3 linked regions of the Ovis aries genome follow. The protein of the gene in region 2 interacts with the protein of the main gene of each other region in a pairwise test. Links are inferred from orthologs where the notes say so. Each region holds a gene or a part of one and is shown on either strand. Other genes may lie near its edges.

Evidence for each region. The genes of interacting proteins can lie anywhere in the genome.
Region 1: the proteins of PRPF31 (region 2) and KHDRBS3 interact in binary tests that used the Homo sapiens proteins (3 or more experiments, as listed by UniProt). The two-hybrid records come from large-scale screens. The link is inferred for Ovis aries from reciprocal best matches to the Homo sapiens genes PRPF31 and KHDRBS3.
Region 3: the proteins of PRPF31 (region 2) and TMCC2 interact in a two-hybrid assay, tested with the Homo sapiens proteins (2 studies listed by BioGRID). The two-hybrid records come from large-scale screens. The link is inferred for Ovis aries from reciprocal best matches to the Homo sapiens genes PRPF31 and TMCC2.

Annotation. Positions count from the first base shown.
Region 1 is NC_056062.1:19,608,560-19,613,502, reverse strand, and holds the start of KHDRBS3 (KH domain-containing, RNA-binding, signal transduction-associated protein 3), read left to right. Parts: upstream 1-1,821; 5' UTR 1,822-2,275; coding exon 2,276-2,363; intron 2,364-4,943. UniProt on the Homo sapiens protein: RNA-binding protein that plays a role in the regulation of alternative splicing and influences mRNA splice site selection and exon inclusion. Binds preferentially to the 5'-[AU]UAAA-3' motif in vitro.
Region 2 is NC_056067.1:64,005,046-64,009,290, forward strand, and holds part of PRPF31 (U4/U6 small nuclear ribonucleoprotein Prp31), read right to left. Parts: intron 4,046-4,245; coding exon 3,888-4,045; intron 3,473-3,887; coding exon 3,383-3,472; intron 1,854-3,382; coding exon 1,726-1,853; intron 1,646-1,725; coding exon 1,573-1,645; intron 1,143-1,572; coding exon 1,014-1,142; intron 892-1,013; coding exon 793-891; intron 1-792. UniProt on the Homo sapiens protein: Involved in pre-mRNA splicing as component of the spliceosome. Required for the assembly of the U4/U5/U6 tri-snRNP complex, one of the building blocks of the spliceosome.
Region 3 is NC_056065.1:2,864,587-2,869,487, reverse strand, and holds the start of TMCC2 (transmembrane and coiled-coil domains protein 2), read right to left. Parts: upstream 3,123-4,901; 5' UTR 2,808-3,122; coding exon 2,601-2,807; intron 1-2,600.

The sequences.
Region 1 (4,943 bases), on a different chromosome or scaffold from region 2:
GCTATGTATGCTGGACACTTTATGGGGATTTCCTTAAGAGGTGATACATTTTATCTTCATGACTCTCTTAGGAAATAGGCTCTATTATCATTTCCACTTTATAGATGAGGAAGATGAGGCACAGAGAGGTGGAGTATCTTGCCCAAGATAGCACAGCTAGTGAGCAACTGAGCCATGATTCTAAATGCAGGCTCTCTGGTCCCAGAGGCTACATACTGAACTGTCTCATCTGACAGCCTCTTGCAAGTTTAGACCAAAGAGAGACATGAAGAAGATTCTTACTGGGACTCTGGAATGGCACCTCACCAGGAGTCAGTTCCATCTAGGGGTGGAGCTTGAGAATGAAGGAAGTTCACACTTCGGGCTGGGACCTAGAGCAGCGTAGAGCTCCTTGATTCCCGCCCCAAGCATCTCTGGGTATAGTGTGTGCTCAGTCACTAAATCGTGTCCCACCTGATGCTTTGCGATCTCACGGACTGAAAGAATACTGGAGTGGGTTGTCATTTCTTTCTCCAAGGCATCGTCCCAACCCAGGAATTGAACCCTGAATCTCCTGCCTTGGCAGGTGGATTCTTCCTCCCATGCCATCAGGGAGGCCCCCCTTGGGTGTTGTCACCTCTATTTGCATCAAGAGTACAGCCAGTTGCCTGGGGGCTTGGGAGGAAGACCTGCTCCCAGAGGAGTGGCATGTCTATGGCTTATTCCTTCATCACACATTTCTGGTGCCCCTACACCCGTCCTAGGCCACTAGGTGCTGGGGATCCTTCCCCATAAAAGAAAGCTCTAGCCCTGTCTGTGAGGTGCTCATGGTCTGGGGAAAACAGAATCAGAGTTCTCCGTGAGTGAGGCCTGACCAGCGCTGGTGGGACACAGAACAGGTACCACTTTGTTGGGGAAGTCCTGGAAGGCTGTCCAAGAACAGGGACGTAGAGGCCCGGACTTGAGGTGGGATATGATGGGGCAAAGGCAGGACAGACTCGGAGTCTTCGGGCCCCGCCACTGACTCTACCTGGGATATCTGAAAACGGTCCGATGGAGGATTTGTCGAGGTGGGTGGCTGTGCGTAAACGAAAGGAGGACGGCAGCACCCACGTGCGTCCAGGGGACTGCGCCCCAGAGGGGACGGGCTGCGGCTCCCTGCCCCGCCTCCGGACTCGGCGGATTTCTGCGCGAAGAGAATGACAACCCGGCGGCAAGCGGAATGACAAAGCCGACCTGAAGGGCACGCGCTTTTATGTAATCGACCTCGGTTCCAAGGGTCTCACGGGTTGGCGCTGAGCGCAAGAGGCACCCACCGAGGCAGGACGGCTGGGCGCCCACGTTATTTCCTAGCAAACAGGAGCAGGGGAGGCAAAGCGAGCTAAGTTATGGAAGTCCAGGGAGCTTGAGAGCAGGGCAGCTCGCCCCGCCGCCCTTTCCCAGAGCCCGCGGCGGCGAGCCCGGGTGCTCCTCGGCGTCCTTCTCCGCCCGGCCCCTGAGCCGAGCGCGCAGCCCTCCTCCCGGGATCGCTCGCTGGGTGACCTTGGGCGAGCCGCTTGACCTCTCTGGGCGCAGTTGCCCGGGTTCTGCGTCTCGGCCCGCCGTGGCCGAGCCGCGCGGCGCTCCGCGCACGCCTCCCAGGGAGCTGCGGACCGGCGCGGCGCCGGCGGGAGGCCCCCGGGACGCCCCTCCCGGGCTCGGTCGCGTAGCCGGGAGCGGCCCCACCAGGCGGCGCGCCGCAGCGGGCGGCGGGCGGCAGGGCGCGGGGCACAGTGCGCAGGCGCGGCGGGCGGGGCGGGGCCGGGCGCGGCGGGCGGGGCCGGGCGCTCGGCTCCGCGGCTCAGAGAGCGCGGGGCGGCGCGCGGCGTGCGGGTCGCTGCTGAGCTCCGCGCCGGCGCCGGCTGGCGGGGCTCGCCGGGGACTGTGTCCAGTTCGCGGAGCGCGCCGCCGGCTCGGCCGGAGGGCCGCCTGATCGCTCCGGCCCGTGGCGGGAGCGCGGAGCCCGCGTCTGGGAGGCGGCGGCCGCCAGCGCGGGGCCGTCGGCGGCCAACCCCCGGGGACCAGGGCTGCGCGGCCGGTTCCCGCCCCGCGCCGCCGCCGCCGCCACCGCCTCCGCCGCCGCCGCCGTCCCCGGGCCGACTGCTCGGCTTGGCTCCGCCGCGCCCCGCGCCGCCCCACCGCGGCGTCCGGCCCGGGTTCCGCGCCGCTGGGGCGCGGGCGGGGTCGGGGGTTGCGGGGCCGCCGCCGCCGCCCGCCCGCCTGGAGTCCGCGTCCCGGGCCCGGGCGGCCGGCGAGCATGGAGGAGAAGTACCTGCCGGAGCTGATGGCGGAGAAAGACTCCCTGGACCCATCCTTCACGCACGCCCTGCGGCTGGTGAACCAAGGTGAGGGCGCGCGCCGGCCGGCTGGCCGACCGACCGACCGACCGTTAACGGTCGCCCACGGCCGTTGGGGACCCGGGAGCGGCGGGCTGGGGGGAGGGGTGGGGGGCTGGAGACTGGGGGGCGTCGGGCCCGGGGGCGAGGCGCAGGTGTTGGGGGGTGCGGAGCCGTGGCAGCGAGCTGGCCGTCGACCTCGGGGCGACCGGAGGGGACCCAGGTCGCAATCTGGCGGGGGGCGCTGATTCGGGTGGGGATGTGGGACACCTAGGGGAAGCCGGAGTGTTGTGTGCGCGTTGTGGGGAGACGCGGGAAGGGAGGCAGGCTGGGCGTTTGGATGCGACTTGAAGGGAATCTGTGGGGGACTCGAGGGTACCCCAGGGAAACTTGCGGGTGGGGCACCACGAGCATCTGGGGGCTTCGTTGGGGCGGGGGTTGAATGAGCTCATTGGAGGGGAGAATGGGGCGGTGGGGGGCACCAGGGAACTAGTTGCGTTTGGTTAGAGAGCTGGAGAAAGAACTCGAGGAAAATGGAAGGATTCGAGGGGATCGGAAGCAGAAGAGGTGAAGGGAACAGGTGCTTGGATTGTTGGTGAAGTTTGAGGACCTCGGAAGAGGTTTGGGGTCAGAACCCCCGGCACGTTGGAGGAGCAGGGCCCGCTTTCCCGGTTCCCTCTTCATTCCTCTCTCTCTCTCTCTCTCTCTCTCTCTTTCTCTTTCTCTCGCGGGTCCGGGCTCTCGCCGCCCTCCCCGCGGGTGGGCAGCTCACACCTAGCCTTGCAGGCCGGCCCTTGGAGAGTCATCGGGGGGCGGGAAGAGACCCACGCAGGAGAGTCTGCTTCTTGACTTGCCTGTCCTCTCTCTGGGAGGCTCTGGGTGGGTCACCCTCACTGGGGGCCGGCTCGGGGTTGAGAACACTGGCCAAGGAGCCTTTGCTGCTTGTGCCATTTTAGCGCGCCTCGGGCCAGCTCAGGGCGTGAGCCGCCCCGGGAAGTACCGGACGCGGGGTGCCCCGGCGTACGGAGGCGTGCCCGCCCAGGACGGCGTTCCCTGGCTTGTTCCTTCTCCAGCTTCCCGAGTAATCTGCCGGGATGGACGGTAAATGAAGCCCGCCTTCCCCAGAGCGATGTCCTTCATCCCCTCCTGGATCTGGAATGCGTGTTTCAGATAAAGATGGGTTTGGGAGCCGTTGGTATGCTTTTTCTCTGGGTGATGGCACAGACCATCCGGCAGAGGTTATCCCGTCAGATCTGTTACCTTTTGCACGAATCACTGTGCCTTGAGGGTCTGTGGTTCCCGACTCAGCCGGGTCTGCTGATCTTCATGCTGACCCTGGCTTTTTGATTGTTGAAAGTGGAAGATGAGGCAGACATATTCTATTTGAATATAGGTGTCTATATTTTACAATAGCGACCTCCGGTATTTGCCTATTGCAACCCGTTCTTCCTAGTAGGGTGTGTGTGTGGTCGAGTGAGGGTCTTGGTGGAGGGACTGACTGTCTGCAAGAATTTAAGCTTGGTATTTAATTTGTTGAACAGAGATGGGTTCACTGAGCTTTCCCATTTTAATTGTAGGCTTATTTTTATTTCTTTAATAAAACGGGCTTGTGAAAAAGTAATGGCTATGCGTTGCAGAAAGCGAATTTTAAGTTTTATTGCCATGCTCTTGTGAACAGTTGGGTTTGTACTCCTCTCTCTTTGTGATTTACATATATCTTTTGTTGCCTGCTGGGCTGTCATCTCTATGAAAGAAATTTCTTTGTACGTTGTGTGAGATCATTGGCATTAGAAATATTCTGGATTGTGGAATGAAGTGTATTTTTCTGAATAAAGAAGCTGAGTCAAAGTTAGGTTGTACTCAATTAAAGAAGCAGTTTTAACAAAAGTGTAGTAAGTTATCTTATTTTGAAAGTCAGAACTAATTTTCTGTGCCAGGTTGCTGTGGCATTCATTTTGCTAATACATTTGGAATTCTTTTGGTTTCTTTGTTTTTACCTGTGGTAATTGCTTCCAATTATTTGAAACAGATCTTGGGCAATGTTGCCATTTAGTTGTTTTTTTTTTTTAGGTGTTAAACCTGATTACCTTACTTTTTCATCAAAAATGTAATTCTTGCAAGAGGTACATTTCTTACATTGAACAGTTAGGGAAGTAACTTATTCAGATATTCTTATTACTGTTAATTTAGATTTCTTCAGACTGAAATGTTTTCCCCTTAAATCACAGGCTGCTTTCTGGAATGCAGAGCTCTATCATTTAAAATATTAATTATGCTGTTACGTAACTCCAGAATTACAAGTGGCATTTCTGAAACACGGTGTCTTAAATCTGAATTGATTATTATAAAGCTTTGATTTTAAATCTGATAATCATTTTGTGATTGACTACCAAGAGCATTTTTATTCTTTTTTTAATCTGTATTTTTGACTATTTCCCTCTAAAGGGAGGCATCTGTTTTTCAGATGAATCTTGATACTAGGATGGGTATTCAGGCACTAACTTATAAATGGTAATGGGTCACACCTTTATTTTATTATGGAGTGGCCTGTGATAAGTAGACTTGACGCTTAACATCACCAAATGCTGT
Region 2 (4,245 bases):
CATGTGGAGGGCGTGCCAGCCCCCAGGTCTCCCCCACCCTGGGAGATCCTCTGTGGTTCTGGGGTGAGGCCAGCGGGGAGGACCTGGATCCCTGAATTTTAACAAGATCCCCAGGCGATTTTAAAAACATCACTGTGTGAGAAAGGCTGATCCCGTTCAGTTCCTGAATGAAGAAACCGAGTCCCAGAAGTAAGAGGCTTGCCCGCAGTCCCAGCATGAACCGCACCAGCCCCAGCGAGGATTTACCAACCAGCTCTGGGGGTCTGACACGTGGCTGGCATTGATCCACGTCTTACACCCGGGGATTCTCACCTTGCTGAGGCTGTCCCTGGAGGCTCCGTCTCCCTTAGTCCTTTCCGGCCCAGCACTTTCCACCCCCCAACACTATGTATCTTACTTGTCTGACCCCTGAGATAAACTCCAAGAGGGCGAAACTCCCCGTGTGTGTGTGTGTGTCTGTGTGTCCTATTTGTCTGTCCCCTGAGATAAACTCCAAAAGGGCCAAACTCCCTGGTGTGTGTCTGTCCATCTCAGCGCCTGCGACAGTGCCCCTGGAATTCAGCGGGCATCCTCAAGGGTGGGAGCAGCTGGGCCTGCTCGGGGCCACAGAGACTCAGTGGTCCCTGCGAACCGTGACATGTGCTGGGAATCCAGATACAACCTCGGGGGCTTCTTTGGAGCCCCCCGCCCAAACCCATGGCAGTCCTGAAGTGGGGCACAGGTAAGGAAGCAGCAGCCCAGGACAGGGGAACACGGCCTTCCCCGGGCCTGCTGCCTCCAGAGACCCAGTACCTGGAGTGGGGTGAAGGCCACGCTGGAGGCGGTTCCCGACGAGCGGTCACGGATGGTGGACTTCCCACCGTACACCACGCTCTGCTTCTGCAGGGTCCGCTGCGGGGAGGGCAGGGCGCTCAGGGCTGTGGCCTGGGTCTGCACACGCGCGCCTGCCCCCGAAGCCCAGGCCCCGCCCCCGTAGCCCAGGCCCCGCCCCCATCCCCAGGGCTGGCCCGCACCTGCAGCGTCTTGGAGATCCTGGCTTTGGTAGCCTCGTTCACCTGTGTCTGCCGCACCCGCCCGCTGCCCGACTTGCCCAGATGTCCCAGGCTGAAACCCAGATCCTCCTGGTAGGCGTCCTCCTCGATCTGGTGGGAGGGGAGACGTCCAGGTGTCAGCCGCCCCTCAGGCAGCCCAGGGCTCCATCCCATCCGGGACTGCCTGGGCCCTGAGTGCAGTGAGCCTTGCTGGGGCCCCGGTGAGGAGCAGGGGTCCTGTTACCACTGCTTGAGCTGAGGGGGAGTGTGTGTGTGTGCCTGCGCCGTGTGAAGAGCCGCAACAGTGGTCACTGACGACACGCAAGCTAGTTCCGGCAGGACCAGCGGGGTGGTGCTCAGGTAGCCGGGGCCTGGCAGGCGCGGGGCCTGGGAGGGCCTGGACAGCGGGGTGGGGACGGTGGGGGGAGATCCCTCTGGGGCTGGGACAGAGTGGAGGCCAGGGGGCCCGGGAAGAGGCTGAGGTGTTGCCTCGGCCACAGCAGTGGAGGGGACGTGGGGGCGCGAGGTAGGGGCGTGTGACCTCTCCGAAGCTCATGCGGTTGGCCTGCTTCCGGATCTCCGTCAGCCCCAGCCGCTCCTTCATCTTGCGGTACCTGGGGCGGGGCAGGGGGTCAGCCGGGAAGGGGAAGCCTCGGCCCTTCCCACCCCGCCCGGTCCGGTCCCCGGGCCCCACCTGCGGCCGCCTCGCTTCTTGCGCTGCCCGTCGAGGGGCGCGGGCAGCGGCTTCACCTGCTTCACGGGCGGTGGCTCCTGCCACTTGTCGAACTTGCGCTCAATCTCGTCCTTCAGCTCGTAGCCCACCTGGGGAGGGCGGGCTGGGGTCCAGCAGCGGCTCCCACGGGCCTGGCCTGCCCCCCGCCCCAGCTCCTCTCAGGTCAGTAAGGGGGATGCCCTGGAGACCGCCGCACCCGAGAATCCAGCTGGAAGGACCCCAGTAGGGCCCCGTCAGCTCCTCTGAGGAGCCAGGCTCTCCCCAGGCGCACAGGCTCAACGTGACCCACCCTGTCCCACCAGCTCCCCCTCCGCGGGGCTCGCTGGGCTCCAGCCTGGCGCTGACCACCCGCTGCTTCAGACCCCGTCCCCCAGCGTCCACGGGACTCGCCTGCTCTCTGCTCGCAGGCCCACGTTAAGCCCTCACCTCCTCAGAGCAGCCCTCCCGCCTCCCAGGTTCATCAGTCTAAGCCCCCTTGGCACCTCCACAGCCTCCTCTCCCCTCAGCCTCTGCTCGGCACCCCGGACGCCCTGCATATTGACCAGCGTGCATCTCCCCATCGCCGCCCGCCCCCAGCCAGACTGGAGAAGCCACAGGGTAGGACTTGCATCTGGCCGGGTCACCGCTGTACCCTGTGGTCAGAGAGCCCCGAACGCTGTGGCAGGCTGGGTGCCTGGAAAACCATACTGCACGGGATAGACACATCTCCTGTCACAGAACAGGTCTGCCCAGGAGGACAGGCTAACGGAATAAACACCAGCATGGCAGCAGTGCTGGCAGAGGAGACAGAGTGCAGCAAAGACGCTCCTCCCCGCCCCAGGGTGTCCAGACACCCCGGTGCAGCAGAGAAGTTCCTCCCCGACCCCGCCCCAAGGTGTCCAGAGACCCCGGTGCAGCAGAGAAGTTCCTCCCCCGCCCCAGGGTGTCCAGAGACCCCAAGGCAGCAAAGACGTTCCTCCCCGCCCCAGGGTGTCCAGAGACCCCGGTGCAGCAGAAAATTCCTCCCCGCCCCAGGGTGTCCAGAGACCCCGGTGCAGCAGAGAAGTTCCTCCCCCGCCCCAGGGTGTCTGCTACCTGGTTCCTGTGAGCTCTCACTGCCTGACAAGCGGGGCTCTGCAGGTGTGACTGGGTTAGGGATCTTGAAGGGGAGTGAGAGCTTAGTGGTGTGTGGGGCCAGTGGGGTCACAGGGGTCTTAAAGGGCCAGAGAAGAAGTGCAGGCAGAGGCAGAGCCAGGGAGAGCACACAGAGGCTGTGCTGGCTCTGAAGATGGAGGCAGGGGCCCCGAGCAGGGGTCGCGGTGGCCCTGGGAAGCTGGAAACCGCCGGGAGCGGCCCTCCCGAGCTCGAGCCTCTGGAGGAGCAAACTCGGCCAGCACTGCGGCGTCAGCTCGGGGAACCCCCGTGGGCCTCTGGCCTGCAGGACTCTAAGACCACAACCCGGTGTCCCTCTGGGCCACTGCACTTGAGGCCATCATCATGGCAGCGTGGGGGAGGGGACGCCGCCCCGGGTGGGGCCCAGCGACACCCCCGCCCCGCCCTGAGTCCCCGTGCGGGAGGGTCTTCTGATGACGGCGCTCCTCGACAGACCACAGACAGGCCATGCGGACGCTGCCCTCACCTTCCCCTCCGTACTCTCGTGGAAGCTGTCCACGCGGGCTGCCAGCGTACACTTGGCGGCCACCAGCCGGGCGGCTTTCCGCCGCAGATCCTGGGGCAACAGACAAGGAGGCGGGTCAGAGCGAGGCAGCAGCCTCAGAGCCCAGGCTTCCCAGAACTGCCGCCTTGCCGCCCTCTCTGCCCGGCAGCCTCCACCTCCACTGCGGCTCAGGCCTGCACTGATGCGTTACAGTAACCAGTGATCATCGCTGGTGTCTTTTCCCACCTCCTCTCCCGTCTGCAGACAAACCAGGTCCAGTTCGCCCACGTACAGACTGGGAGACAGAGGTTCAGAGCTCAGGCTCCGTGCCGGGCAGGTGGGTGGCACTGACGGAACCCCAAGCCAGCCCATCGGCTCCGGCCTCCTTGCTCCTGCCCCCTTGCACCCGCCCGTGCGGGCCACCCTCTGGCTCCCAGCTCCCGACGCCTGCCGCCAGCAGTGACCCGGGGACCCGGGGGGCACTCACTGGGGGCAGGGACTGCACGATGTCGCTGTGGTAGATGTAGCCGGTGTGGGGCAGCACCGAGGTGGACGAGAAGCCCGACAGGGTCTTGCGCTGCGCCCCAAGCAGCATGATGTTGCAGGCAGGCATCTTGGAGAGGTTGGTCAGGCCGCCAGCCACCCCTGCAGCAGGAGGGGGCAGACATCAGCGAGGTGGCGGGGGGTGGTCCGCCGAGCGCTGCCCCTTCACAGGAGTTTCCAGCCGCAGGCCTGAGGGGGGCCCGCCAGGGAGCGTCAACATGTCCCATCTCGGGGGGGATTCAGAGGGGCTCCGAGAGGCAAAGGGACGTGCCGGAGGCTGCACAGTGAGCCCCTGGCCCACG
Region 3 (4,901 bases), on a different chromosome or scaffold from region 2:
TCCACAACACTGAAGGACAAGAAGGGAGACCACCGGAGCCCCTGCTCCGGGGCTGCTCGACAAGCTTGTCTATCAGGGCACATGCGGATCACTCTGTCCTCTCCTTTCGCCCAACTTCCATGAGGTGCTTCAGACAAAGCCTTTTTTTTTTTCCTCAAGATGATTTCCTCCACTGCTCCTAATCCATCACAACGCCTGGAGCTGTTACAAGAAAACAGCGGTGGACTAAGGGACCAGAAATTCCTATTTCCAAAGTTTAAAATGAAAACAAAACCAAGCCAGAACTGCAGGTTGCTCCAGGCCAGACACAGGTAGGGGACAGGGGGTGTTAAAAAATCAAACTTACCCTATTCCGGTACCACCATCACACCTAAAACAAGGTAGCTTCTATGCAGCGCTACAGCCAAAGATGGGATTTTTCCATTGCTGGAAAACTATGCCAGTGCTGGAAAATAAGTTTAGACATACTTCAAAATTCCTAGTCCCTTTCCCCAGAAAAAGGCTCAGAAAAGTTGAGTCACTTGCCTGAGATCACACAGCAAATTAAACTGCGATAGCCCCCAAGTTGGTGTCTGTCTCTGAAGTCCCTACTTTGTAAACACGTGATAAAGCAGACGGACATAAACAGGAAAAGGCCCTGCTTGTCTCCCCGAGCTCCCACGGAGCAGGCAACAGCTAGGTTTTCCCTGAGCTGCCAGCCTGGGTTCACACAGCTATGGTCAGCTCAGAAATATGTTTTCTGATGGGGGTGGAGGACAACTTGGAAGGACAAGAAAAGAAGGTGTCCTTTTCTCACACCTGATCTCAACTGTGGTTCAGGGATGACCCGCATTTAATATCAAGTGTAGAGCTGTTGTTGCTGTGTCTGCCCCAACCAGAATGACAGTGTCAACCGCCACCACCCTCCCCCAAAAAGAGGGAGAGAGAGAGAGTATAAGAGGTAAGCGGGTGGAGATGAATGAGCTTCTTTCAGCAGCTTTATCCACAGAGACAAAGACACTGCAGCCCCCACCGCAAGCCCACCTTCCCTTGTGAAGGCAGCGGGGGACATGAACGGAGCCGGTGGTTTTCACTGCGGCCGGAGCTGAATCGTGGAGGAGTTTCCAAGGCTGCTTTTCATGGACTCGGGGTGAGGATCCCATCTCACCAAGGAATCAGGATGTGCTGGCCAGACCCCTCTGGATCAGCCCAGAAGGAAGCTGAAGTTTGCAGCAGAAGGCTGCCCCTGCCCCACGTCAGCACTAAGGGCAGCCCTTTTCCTTCACCATCTCATTGAAAATAGGAACCACGGCTCCTGACCACTCAGGTGGGCTCAGAGGTGGCAGGTGGGCCAGGTACCAAGGACTCTCCCTGAACTGCCTACCCAGTGGAGCTCATCTTACACATAAAGCTAGCCCCGATCCTCTGAAAAAGGGCAGCCGCAAAATCAGAGGTTACGTTCAAATAACTGCCACCAATTTTTAAGACACACACATGGAGGCAGAAGTCACCTTCTTACCCCTCCCCAGGAAACACAGACAGGGGACACACACTCACCTGCGCTCTGACTTCCTGGCTCTGTGCCGCTCAGGCCAAACGAGGAGTGTCATTGGTTTATTCTGGCGAGCTCCTTAGTGGCTGCTGCCGTAGGAGACAGGCTTTATTTAACATAATGGAGTCCTTTTGCTCCCCTAGCCAAGACCTTGCACCCCCTCTGGAGAAAATCTCCCCAAGGCATCAGTCTCCAAGGCGTCTAAGTTCCTTCCTTGGGCTGACATCGCTCTCAGCCCGGCGGTGAGCTTGCTTGAGAAGCCTGAGCCTGCAATTCCTGTGGCAGCTCCAGCAAAGGTGCATTATTTATCACAGCTGCTGTTTTAGTTAATATAGAGACATATCCAGTACAGCTCAATAATTGTCTCGGCAACCTAAGCTGGAAAATAAAGGACTCCCAACTGCAAGTGGCCGCCTCTCTCAGATCCTGGTTCTCCCTGCCGGCTCATCATGTGTGCAACTTGAACCGAGGCCCCAAACCAGCGCAAGCACCAAGCGGCCACCTGTCAGTTCTCCACCCTGGGGGCTGGTTTAGGAAACCAGCCCGGATCTCCAAGCACTAGCTTAACCTCTGGCTCCACCTAACGGCAGGAAACCCACACTCCCCTTTCACAGATGGACAAACTGAGCTTCAATCCAGGAAGGTCCCAGAAGGAGGAAACTAATTCAGCAAAGGAGCTAATGGTCCTTTGCTTGGGTTCCCACCCCTGTTATCTCCTTCCCCTTCCAGGGAGGGGAAGGGATGTCAACTTTTTAGTTAGCATTTCGGATTTCTCCAGCTCTTTGTCTGCGAATAGCGCTTCACACACATTATTCAAACAACCTCCGATGCGTGAGTCACTAGAACGTCTGCTGAATAATGAGGAACAAACACAGAGGCCTGAAATAAGCTGAAAGACAGAGGCACAAATGGTACCTGAGATCTAGCCCAGGGTCTGGCTGAACATCTGCCCATCCTCTCTGACCTCTGTCTGGCTTCCCCATCACTTTTAGCCTGTTACAGCACTTCTGCGTGGGGCGGGGAAAGCTAAGTCGCCGGTTGAGCTCTCAAGGGGAGGGTCTGCGCTCACCTTTAAATCGGGAGGCTTGCTTCGGGGACCCGGGTTGGGCGCCGCGGCAGCGCCCGCATCCGAAGTTGGCCCGCCAGCAGAGTTAGCACCCGCGGCCTCCCCAGGCCGGATGTCCGCACCCGGCAGGTGGCAAGCAGCATCTTCCAGCCCGGCTCCATCCTCCTCGCCCTGCTGTTGCTGCAGCTCGTCCGATTTGCACCTCTTCATGGTGTAGATGGGTCGGCAAGGGGAATCTGTCCTTCCAGCGCGCCGTCCTGGGGGGAGACCGCACCCCCTCTTACACTCAGAAACGAGGCTCCGGGTCTAAATTATTAACGAGGAGGGGAGTCGGGCGGATCACAATTTCTTGAATTGAAAAAATAAACCTTTTCAAGGGAGGGTGAGGAAAGGGCGAGGAGCGGGGAGCCTTGGTTACAGCTTGGAATAGTTCATCGCCACCCGGGGAGCGAAGGCAGGTCACAGTCGAGGTTGGGCAGCAGGAGTCCTTGGGCAGTCATTGGAGCGGGAGGAGGAAGACAGCCCCCGGCCCCCAAACTTTCTGCTTCAGGGCACGCGCAGGGCGGAGGAGAACCGGGCGGCACCGCGCATCCCTCCCGGCGGGCCGGGCTGCTGGGCGCGGCAGGCATGGGGCGGCCGGCCGGGCAGGTCCTCGTCTGCCGCCCTTGGCGGCGACTGCGGCCGCCCGCCCCGCCGCGGGCCCCCGGCCCGCACCTGCCGGCGGAGGAGCCCGCAGCGCGCCCCCGCCCCGCCCGCGCGCCCGGCCCCCGCCCGCCGCACCGCCTGCTGCAAAGCCGCCGCCGCGGCCTGAGCCCGCGGCCAGCGTGCAACCTAGCCGGCCGGTGCGGCGGCCGGGCGGGGGAGGCGAGGCTAGGAGGGCGTGACGACGGCCGCCGGCCAATGGGGAGCCCCGAGGGCCGGGGGGGGCGTCGCGGCCGCGTCCTTGGGGTTGGTTGCACCGCGCGATCCCCCAGGAGCAATCCGGAGGGCTGGAGTGCTGCGTCTTAGCATTGCGGACAGCGGGCTGCGGAGTTGAGATCAGGGGCGTCGGGCCACCGAGGCGCGATTTTAGCAGAAGCACCCGAGGGACCCTTGCAGCAAACACTCTGTCGGGGTGTCCCCCACCCACTCATTTTATTTGGCGGGGAGGAGGCGACATAGGGATGCTTATCATCACGCCTTTTTTGCTCTAACTTCGCACATTATAGCATCTCTTCGGTGAGGAAGACGCAGATCCTAAGACCCTTGATCTGAAACGCGGACAGATTGCTACCTTCAGAGCTGCAAATGCAAAGGGAAGGAAGAGAGCGGGTGTTCTTCTGCCCCATCGCCTCCTCCCCTAATTATCTAAAGAGTCTCAGCTTTGTGCTCAGAAATAAGAAAGTATCTCATTTTTGAACACAATAATGTATGTGAGTGTTTTTGCAAACTGTGAAGCAGCTTTTAGATAAGAAGGGGTTTTAATGACAGGAGGTTGACACGTGGAAGAGAGGAAAGGAATTCAATCTTTTCCCTCCATAAATCTCAGCAAAACTGCACTGAGTAATCTGGAGGCAGAAGAGAGTGAATACTGGGGTTACCAAGAGATGGAGCCGGGTAATAATGACAACCCTATTCTAGTGATTACTTGTGATTACTGCGGATACCATGGGTTTTGCCCACCCAGCAGCCTAGATGAACAGTTTTGGAAGTAGGTTCCAGGACCAGCAGCCTCAGCATCACCTAGAAACTTGAGAGAAGTGCAAATTATTGGACACCATCTAGACCTATTCAGAGAAGGCAATGGCTCCCCGCTCCAGTAATCTTGCCTGGAAAATCCCATGGATGGAGGAGCCTGGTGGGCTGCAGTCCATGGGGTTGCTAAGAGTGGGACGTGACTGAGCGACTTCACTTTCACTTTTCACTTTCGTGCATTGGAGAAGGAAATGGCACCCACTCCAGTGTTCTTGCCTGGAGAATCCCAGGGACGGGGGAGCCTGGCGGGTTGCCATCTATGGGGTCGCACAGAGTCGGACACGACTGAAGCGACTTAGCAGCAGCAGCAGCAGCCAGACCTATTGAATCAGAAATAGTGGGTCCCAAGATCTGTTTCAACAAGTCTTTCAGGTCATTCTGATGCACGCTAACGTTTGAGAACCACTGGCCTAGACCGTAGTGAAGGGACCACTTAGTGTGTGAGTCACAGTGATCTCTAAGGCGTTTCACAGTTTCCCAAGCTCTTTCACACCCATAGTACCATTCTAGCCTCAATTCACTTACCCTTTCAGTCCTGCTAGTCTGTGAGTTTCCTGACTGTTCTTTTTC